Regions from separate parts of the Mus musculus genome. Here region 1 is reported to be linked to region 2. The links are microRNA targets in miRTarBase. Many come from high-throughput screens and were not tested one by one. Region 2 holds a microRNA gene; the other region holds the end of a gene's coding sequence.

Region 1 (5,000 bases), not on the chromosome of region 2:
CTGTGCACCCCAGGACACTGAGAAGCCTCTCTGGCCTCTGCCCACTAGACATAAGCAGCAGTCATTTTAAAGTGACAAAAAAATGCCTGTGGACATTGGCAAATGCCTCCTGGGGATGTGGCAGAAGTGGCTGAGGACCACTGGCGTATACAGGAGGCTTCTACGCAGCAAAGGCTGCATAAAAGCCCAACCTGAAATACTCGGTCTGGCCCTTCATAAAACAACACTGGCTAAGTATTTTGACAGAAAAAGGGCAAATGACATATTCTAGATGAAGACAACAAATTGCCCATGTGTAATATGATCTCCTAGGTGTGCTACAAAGTGAGACGGATAGCAATGTACAATTCACAGAAACAAAGCTCAAATGACCTGCAGGCCAGGGAGATGCTCCACCTCCCTAGCAGTCGAGGAAGTGCAAACAGAAGGCACATTTTCAGCCCTGGCTAACACAGTTGAGAAACACACACTGGTTCCTGCTGAGATGGCGGTGAGCTCCACATGGAAACAATAAAGCACCAAGTACATTTTAATTCTACTATGCTAAGGCAGGAAAGTAGCTGCCCTATAGAAACAGGCAGCAACCTGAGGTAATGCTTGTGTCCCGAACTCACATTGCTGATGGTGAAGCTAACATTTGCTGGGAAGAAGAGGCTGCACACACATGGCTTGTCTATGGTGAGATCGTTAGAGCGGTGAGTAGTGACGAGAACACCCCCCTTAGGACATTACCACGTGAGGAAAGGAGCCTGCATCCCTGTGTGCGCACAATCCCACTCAATACACTCTTCCTCACCCAACCCGTTACCAAGATGTCTAAGCTTGCGTGTGCATCTCAACCAGAGAGCGGAATTGCAGCATCCACTATCAGCACTTAACAGTGTACACATGTCATTCTCTAAATAAACCCCTGTAGGATATTTTTGGTTTGAGGTGCATCCTGATGCATACACTCGTCAGAGGACCGTCAAGTCTAACAAATATGTATATAGGAGCAGAACATTAAAAAGCTATCCTTCCAAGTCTGAAATCAGTACTAAAAGCACCCTCTAAAAAACTTCTATTTATTTAATTCCTATAAAATGTGCAAGTTCTCCTCTTAGAAGAATAGTTAAAATTTCTATATAGGTTTATTAATATACCAGTGCAGATTAAAACTCAGTTATCATTTCTGCCTTTTAAAAAGTCTTTGGCCAGTGGGATGCTGGACCAGTCAGTAAGGCACCTGCTGTGCAAGCCGAGGGCCTGACCTCCAAACACCCCCAAAACCCACACGAAAATAAAGCCAGGTGATGTGTGCACCTGCGTTTAATTCAGTGCTACGGAGACAGGCAAGTGGATCCCTGGGGTTCACTGGCCAGTTAGCTGAGCCTAATTGGTAAATCCCAGCTCCTGTGAGACCCTGCATCAGAAAACTGAAGCCAAAGGCTCCTGAGGCAGGACCCCTTAGCCTGACCGCTGGCCTGGCCTCCACACAAGTTGCACCCATGCCCACATGCTGCCTGACCTCTGTCACAACTGCTCTGCCGGAGCCTGTTTAGTAATTAGCAGCTTTCCCTCCTCATTGAGATGATGGGCAGGGCGGGGCAGATGAGCTCCAGGAGAGAGCAGACCAAGAGGAAGGACAAGGACCTTCACAGCAGGCTCTGCTAGTCTCCAGTGACTGCAGAGTCCTCTCTCACTCACTCATTAGCACTTCAACCAAAGTCCTTTGCACAAAGCACCACACCGCTCAATTACTGGGCTGCTGATACTACACGCTGCTGTAATCACAAAGTCCTCTAAGGCCGTGGACTGGCAACTAACCGACGTGACTTTAGATGCTGCCGCCCTTTTCCACATTGAAGAGGTAGAAGGTGTCTCAGCTGTCAAGTGGCTCAGTGTTAGGGGAACGAGTGTAGTTCCTTAAGCAGCTTCTCCTTGGCTCTAACTTCATTCAGGAAAATACTTTTCTAGGATTTAAGATACACTATAAAAGCAGAATATAAAAACACACTATCAAATACTCTAAGAAAATATACTACATCTTACTAAATTGAAGTTGAATATATATTTCAATAATATGGCTAAGAAAATAATTTGGAAAATAATGCTTTTCATTGTCAGATATACTATAAAAGGCAGAATACAAACATAAAATATGTTCCTGAAGCTGAATACATCTGAGTAAAAATATTTTTAAATGCTAAATTTCTCAGTGTTATGTATACTGTAAAGAGTTGAGTATTAATTTTCAGTGTCTGCATTTCTTATTCTGTAGGTCCAGGAGAAGGCGAGGTCATGGTTCCATGACACCACAATGTCGGTGACAATGTGTGTTCTATGGCAGTCTCAGCCTCAGAAAGCAGGCACCACCTGGTGGCACAGATGTGCTCCCTGCAGCCGGGAAGACCATGCCCCTGGATCTTGTTACTAAGCCCATGATGGTCTACTGCCCAGTCAGTCACACATGAGACCAAGGGCACAGCCAGAACCAATCACAGGGCCATAACACTGCAGGAGCATGGCTAACATCTGTCGACAGGTAGAACCTATGCTCTGCTCATTCAAGCCTTGTTTCATAAGAGCCTCATCTCCTGTACAACACTGTGTGCGTCTCACCTATTCCAAGGTTTAGTTTTGCCAAGTTGAATTTTGTTAGTTTCTTTTCTGTTGGAGCTGAGTAGTTATTTGCTCTTCTGTTACTTAGAATACTCACTGGGAATTACCAGGACTAGGCACTGTAACAGTACTGTATAAACAATAAATACAGAGTCCTAGACCTTCCAACCCCCACTGTTTACAAAGATGAAGGGAAGGTCATTTTTCTCAGAGTATAGTTTCAGTCACAGTGTACAAATTTCTTTTTTGGTTTTTCAAGACAGGGTTTCTCTATATAGCCCTAGCTGGCTTCGAACTCAGAAATCTGCCTGCCTCTGCCTCCCAAGTGCTGGGATAAAAGGTATGCGCTACCACACCTATTGGACCTTTAGATATAGATGTCTTTATATAGGCATTTAACACTCTCTATGGAGGCTTGGGTCTTAGCTAAAGCTTTACTGTTTTCCAGTTCTCTAGTGCACAGATCCATGGCATGGCTTTTGCTTATGAAAGTTCTGAGACTGCAACACATGTTGTCCAGGCTACCCCCTAACTAACTAGGTAGACCAGGATGGACTTGAATCCCTGTCCTGTGCTCCCCTCCCGAGGGCTGGGATTACAGGCTGTGTGTAGCACCACTCCTCACTCAGAGGCTTTAGCAATTCCTCCAGCCCCTTCTCATACTGACCTCACCACATTCCAGTTCTGACGCTTCTGACCAGCAGAAGGGTAAACTAAGAACGAAAGCTTTAAGTCTTTCTTCATAAGAATTCTGTAACAGTCAAAGGGACAAGGCAAGATGTCCCTCCAGTTACTGGACATATAAGGCTTTCCTCTTTAAGACTGTTAAAGTTTATGTAAAAGTTCACTATTATGAAAATAACAAAGAAAGCAGCTATATTTGTTATAATTTTTGTTTGTTTGTTTGTTTTACTAGAGAGTCTCCAAGCTAGCCTCAACTTGTGATCCTCCCTCCTACCTTTGGCTTCAGATGCTCATATTGCGTGGAACAGCATGCCTGCTGCACTTGGCACACTTTAGATACTAGCTGGATGCTATTCCACAATCTACACACAACCTCAAAGCGTAACTAGAAACACGGGGCTAACACTGCTACCCCACAGAAGAAAAGAATAGTTGGTAAATAACCTGCCCTGAATCATGAGGACATGTAAAAAGTTAGCATGTCCTTTCCACACTCCGCAGTCCAAATGGCTTTATAAAGTAGCAAACATTCCATGAGCGTAGAGTGGGATGAATGGCGAGTGTGCTGTGTTTTAGCAGAAGTGCAGCCTGAGGTATCACAGAGATTATGCAGTATAACGACTGACTTCTCTCCTCGGAGGGCTGGCCCGGGTGTGGGTGTGGAAAGGTTCCAACTGCTAATCTCTCGGACACACACACTGCCCTCCTCAGCTTGTCCCTGCTATGAATCCCGAGGCCTGCTTGTTTGGCTCCAGGCCACTGAGAGGCATTCCTCCTTCCTTTACATTCATGGAACTTAAGAGTTTTTCATCAACAAAAGCCTTATGATAAATTCTGAAACAAGTAGCCCCCTCCAATTTCTGGAGTTATAAGGTTTCTTTCTTGTAACACGTGTTCCATCACTTCTGGACCTAACGGGTCTTTTGAGTATGAATTCTAGCACCAATGAGAAACCCTGTATCTCGTTGTCTTCCCACATTGTTATCCACCACAGGGTTTTTAAACTGTATGGATTTTCTGATGGCAACTCATTCACTCCTCCGTCCTGTATGAATCCTCTGATGTTGGGTAAGGTGAGAGCCACGAATAAAGGCCTTCCCACATTGCTGGCACTTATAGGGCTTCTCACCGGTGTGGATTTTCTGGTGTCGACTGAGCTCTGAGCCTCGGCCGAAGGTCTTTCCACACTCTTTGCACTCATAGGGTTTCTCACCGCTGTGGCTTCTTTCATGATGTGTCAGCTCTGATCTTCGGATGAAGGCCTTCCCACACTCCTTACATTTGTGGGGTCTATCACCAGTGTGAACTTTCTGATGTCTAAAGAGCTCTGTGGTGCAAGTGAAGGACTTTCCACATTCCTTACACTTGTAGGGTTTATCGCCAGAATGGGCTCTCTGATGCCGGGCAAGTTCTGAACCACGACGGAAGCCTTTGCCACACTCCTTACACTTATAGGGCGTCTCGCCAGTGTGAACACTCTGATGGCGAAGAAGGTGTGAGTCAGAGATGAAGCCTTTCCCACACTCCTTACACTTGTGGGGCTTCTCCCCAGTGTGTGACATCTGGTGGAGAGCGAGCTGGGAGGCACAGCTATACACCTTGTCACAGTCCTTACACTCAAAGCGCCGTGCCCCAGCATGCGTGAGCAGGTGCAGGCTGAGCTGTGTGTCGTAGCGGAAGGCCTTCCCGCACTCCTTACACTTGTGAGGCTTCTC
Region 2 (5,000 bases):
CAGTTGGAAGTGTCCCTTTTCTGGAAGGATCCAGAAAAGGCAAACTTAAAGCCAGATGAAGAGGTCAGGTAACTGTTGGCATTAGGCAAACACTGAGCTCATTGGGGTTCCGCTTAAATGGTAGGAATGAAAGCCTGGAAGGATACGGTGAGTTGAAAACCTGAGATGAGATCCAGTATTCACCTATTTTTTAAAGACAAGTACACTGTAGCTGTCTTCAGACACGCCAGAAGAGGGCGGCAGATCCCCTTACAGATTATAGATGGTTGTGAGGCACCATGTGGTTGCTGGGAATTGAACTCAGGAGCAGTTCATCTCTCCAGCCCTCCCCCCCCCCCCATAGGGCTACAATGTACTTAATTAGTAATTATCAGGTAGAGGGTTTTTTTTTCCTCTTTTTTTTAATTAGGTATTTTCCTCGTTTACATTTCCAATGCTATCCCAAAAGTCCCCCATACCCACCCCCCCAATCCCCTACCCACCCACTCCCCCTTTTTGGCCTTGGCGTTCCCCTGTACTGGGGCATATAAAGTTTACAAGTCCAAAGGGCCTCTCTTTCCAGTGGTGGCTGACTAGGCCATCTTTTGAGGTAGAGGTTTTACTACTTGAATTTACTACAGAATTTGCACTTGCCTGACAGACCAGCTTTAAAAACATCCTTACTGATGTCAGTGAGATGGCGTCCTGCAGCAGGAATTCCTGCAGCAGGAAGGTTCAGGTGACAGGGGCATTTAGGCACTTTACAGTTTGGCATTTTTGTTTTTTCCCCTCTCAGAATGGAAACTGAAAACCAAAAAACTATGGAAGAAAGCACTAAGAGAAAAGAAGAAAAAAAGAAGCGCTCCCGGGTTAAACAGGTGCTTGCAGATATTGCTAAGCAGGTGGACTTCTGGTTTGGAGATGCAAACCTTCACAAGGACAAGTTTCTGCGAGAGCAAATTGAAAAGTCTAGAGATGGATGTAAGTTTTTTGTCTTTGTTGGAATTTCCAACTCACATTTATATGGGGCCAGAGCCTCCTGAGAGCTCAGTACTGTATATGTTCATGACACACAACTGCATGTTGAACTCGTGCTTGTTTGCACACATGTATATATTCCAGTGTTTAACATCCCACTATCCTATTTACTAGATGTGGACATTTCTCTCCTGGTGTCTTTTAACAAAATGAAGAAGCTGACAACTGATGGGAAGCTAATAGCCAGAGCATTGAAAAGCTCATCTGTTGTAGAGGTAAAAAACTTACATTTCAAGTCACCCACATCCAATTAACTACTGACTTTATTTAGCTTTCCTTTTTTTTTCCCCCCTCATAAAGTTGGACTTAGAAGGGACCAGAATCAGGAGGAAAAAACCCCTAGGTGAGAGACCAAAGGACGAGGAGGAACGCACGGTATATGTGGTAAGAAATGACACAAATTTTAATTCTAGTTCATTTATTTATAATTCATTTATTGGTAAAAATGTAGGAACTTTAAAATGTTCATACCATGATTTATTACAGGAGTTGCTCCCCAAAAATGTTACTCATAGCTGGATTGAGAGAGTATTTGGGAAATGTGGCAATGTGGTTTACATAAGTATTCCACATTACAAGTCTACTGGGGATCCTAAGGGATTTGCCTTTGTGGAATTTGAAACAAAAGAGCAAGCAGCAAAAGCCATTGAGGTACGTACTTCTGTGGGACCCTGAAAAGTAAAGAAAAAGCACAGGGTTAACAAGAGTAACAAATTCTGCAATCAATCTTTTCAGTTTCTGAACAACCCACCAGAAGAAGCACCTAGAAAGCCTGGTATATTTCCCAAGACAGTGAAAAACAAGCCCATCCCTTCCTTACGAGTAGCAGGTGAGTGCTTACTTAGAGTGGCCAAGTAAACAATAAACTATTATGACTGTAAATAATAAAATCTTGTTACAGAAGAGAAGAAAAAGAAGAAAAAGAAAAAAGGCAGAATAAAGAAGGAAGAGAGTGTGCAGGCCAAAGAGTCGGCCGTGGACAGCAGCAGCTCGGGCGTGTGTAAAGCCACGAAGAGACCAAGGACGGCCTCTGAGGGCTCCGAAGCAGAAACCCCGGAAGCTCCAAAGCAACCTGCAAAGAAAAAGAAGAAGCGGGACAAGGTGGAAGCATCCAGCTTACCTGAAGCCAGGGCAGGGAAGAGGGAGAGGTGCAGCGCCGAGGACGAAGACTGCCTCCCCCCAAGGCCAAAAGCTAAGAAAAGGGCTCAGAAGGATGGCGTCGGCCAAGCAGCTTCCGAGGTCTCCAAGGAGAGCAGAGGTACCGTGGCAGTAGGGTTACAAATGTTTTAACCAGTTTAACCACAACAACGGACTTACGGAAATCTTTTTTCTAGACTTAGAATTCTGCTCTACTGAGGAGGAGAAGGAGACAGACAGAAAAGGTGACTCACTCTCAAAGGTGAAGAGGAAGCATAAGAAGAAACACAAGGAGAGACATAAGATGGGCGAGGAGGTTATACCATTGAGAGTGCTGTCCAAGTAAGTGGCCACTGACACAGGTCCATCACCATTGCTAAAGTGCAATTCCAATTTCTATTCAACAGAGTTGCATGTTAGCAACAGTGACGGCCTTGGTCTATCTATATGCAGCACAATGAAGATTAAGTAGGAGCCACCACACTCAAACATGGAAGCACTTATTTTTAAATGCACAGCAAGTGCCTCCATGTTAAAGTAAAGGAGGCCCCTTAAGCAGACTTGAGTGGTCTTTACAAAGGCATGAATATAAAGGAAAACATACCATCACCAAAACATGGAAGCACTTACTTTCTTAGGTCTAAAGCAAGTACAACCACGTTTAAGTGGTGGGAAGCCCAGTCAATAACTCCCTTAACCTACAGCATCTTAGAGAAAATGTTGAACAGTTTAAGACACCCCCACTGAAACATGGAAGCACTTGCTTTTGTTTAACACAGCAGGTAACCCCATGTTAAAGCAGAGGGGACTCCCATCAGACTCTGAATTAAAAGGCTAGCTTTCTTATTCCAGAGTTTCTTGAATTCACTTCTACTAAAACATGGAAGCACTTACTCTTCGATGAGACAGAAAGCATTCCCATGTTAAAGTTGAAGGGAACCCACCCACAAGGCAACTAGTTAAAACAGAAGAGCAAACCCACAGGAAAGTAAAGTGACCCGGTTACAGACATAAGCTTTACCTCCTTTACCTTCGTGACCGCCTCCCAAAGAGTCCTGTTCTGTCCTCGGAGGGTGAAAGACGCCGACTTTAGACCACTTGTATTTATACTACTCCTAACTCCTGAGTTCCTTTTGGCTTTCTATCTCTGAGAATCATTACAAGACCCTTTGTTATTTTAATGTATCAGCTCTGGGGAAAGTAGGTCCTGGGGACCTGGGTAGGTCTGGATTTTTTTTTTTTTTTTCCTTTTTTGAAGTAAACAGATGTCAATGTTAACTGCTAAAACCATTACCACAAGATATCCTCCTCTTTAAAAAAAATCTCCTATCTGCCCGTTTGATGGCACAGATTAGGGTAACAATGAGCGCTCCCACAGAGCCAGGAGATGCATTGTGCTTCTCTGGAGGAGCCCTAGCTGTTTGAAGATACATCTACATGTTAAATGTATGTAAATAAATAAATTGCTTCCATGGGGTGTTTTTTTCTTCTTAGAAATTCCTTTTGATTCAAGTAAATCCTAAGGAATGTTAGCTCTCAAATTGGAAGCAATTTGAGAAATCTTTAAGTTTTAGTCTCTTACTTTTTCTCCAGGTTGCCTGATTTAGTGATTTTACTTAATAGAAGTGACTCAAAAGTGATTTTACAATTAAATATTAGAAGCAACCAGGAAACTCAAGCATTTTCCTTGCCTGTTAAGACAAAGAAACTTCCTTTGTGTGTTTGCTAGGTAGCTTTAACAAATGGCTTAACAAATAATGTAAACATATGCCTTAAAAGAAAGAAAAGTCAGAAAGACTTGCAGTTCCTATGAACATTGTGTTTAGATCAACTTCAGATTTCTAGTTGGGTCGTCTTATCACTGTAATGGCTCAATTTTTGTTTTTCAGGACTGAATGGATGGATTTGAAGAAAGAGTATTTGGCACTGCAAAAAGCTAGCATGGCTTCTCTAAAAAAAACAATATCTCAAATCAAATTGGAATCAGAAATGGAAACAGACTGTAAAGCGCCTAGTAAGTGTGCAGTGGGGAACGGAGAGGGTGACGCTCATGTAATGGAAGAGTGGGCTTTAGTCTATGAATGGTTTCAGGGGCAGTTTTATTGCAGTGATAGAGTGGCTTCCTCAGTTTTAAGCTGAACCATTTCCAAAAACAAAATGTTTTAAGAAAAGTAAAAATGTGAAGTTTTGTATTACACACTAGGTTTTAATAGTCTGTTTATTCTTCTCTACTTACCTGCGAGCTCACTTGTGAGTGCCTGGAGAGAGAAATAAAGACTGCAGGCTTAGTGGATGATGTTCAGCAAGCAGGAGCATATTAGAGCACTACTCTCGTTCATTGTAATATTAGTAAAGGTTTTAAGTTCTTGCAAATTATACAAATTCTCATATTTGAACAGTATACTTTGTGGCTGGAGAAATGGCTCAGTGGTTAAGCACACTGACTGCTCTTCCAGAGGTCCTGAGTTCAAGTCCTAGCAACCACATGGTGGGATCTGATACCCTATCCTGGAGTGTCTGAAGACAGCTGCAGCGTCCTCATAAATAAAATAAATAAACAAATTTTTTAAAAAATGAAATTGTTGAAGCCAGGCAGTGGTGGCTCATGCCTTTGATCCCAGCACTGGGGAGACAGAGGCAGGCGGATTTCTGAGTTCAAGGCCAGCCTGGTCTACAAAGTGAGTTCCAGGACAGCCAGGGCTATACAGAGAAACCCTGTCCCGAAAAACCAAAAAAAAAAAAAAAAAAGAATAGAATACTTTGAATAGTCTTATGTTCATATAGGCATACATCTTTATTAAGGCTTTATTCTTTGGTTTAGAGGTATAATGCCTTTTGTGCCATGT

Evidence for each region. The annotated mature microRNA mmu-miR-302d-3p reads UAAGUGCUUCCAUGUUUGAGUGU and lies in region 2 at 2,635-2,657, opposite strand. An mRNA with a match to its seed (bases 2 to 7 or 8) in the 3' UTR can be bound and repressed. Matches are read on the target gene's strand: a 7mer-m8 pairs with bases 2 to 8, a 7mer-A1 pairs with bases 2 to 7 and ends in A, and an 8mer does both.
Region 1: the mRNA of Zfp568 is a reported target of mmu-miR-302d-3p. Seed matches in the 3' UTR shown: 7mer-m8 at 2,925-2,931.

What each region holds. Positions count from the first base shown.
Region 1 is chr7:30,022,961-30,027,960 of GRCm38, reverse strand. Zfp568 (zinc finger protein 568) reads right to left here. Exons shown (of 10, transcript NM_001167872.1): 10 at 1-5,000. The coding sequence ends at 4,314. Among named protein-coding and RNA genes, the nearest start is that of Zfp14, 26 kb to the left of the region's middle.
Region 2 is chr3:127,543,322-127,548,321 of GRCm38, reverse strand. Mir302d (microRNA 302d) reads right to left here and starts at 2,698; the gene lies at 2,633-2,698. Larp7 (La ribonucleoprotein domain family, member 7) reads left to right here. Exons shown (of 13, transcript NM_138593.2): 2 at 776-960; 3 at 1,132-1,232; 4 at 1,318-1,401; 5 at 1,504-1,668; 6 at 1,753-1,846; 7 at 1,919-2,275; 8 at 2,352-2,496; 9 at 4,044-4,168. The coding sequence starts at 777. Gm51018 (predicted gene, 51018) reads right to left here and starts at 3,233. Exons shown (of 2, transcript NR_146435.1): 1 at 3,176-3,233; 2 at 1,419-1,688. Mir302b (microRNA 302b) reads right to left here and starts at 3,094; the gene lies at 3,021-3,094. It also overlaps Mir302c, Mir302a and Mir367.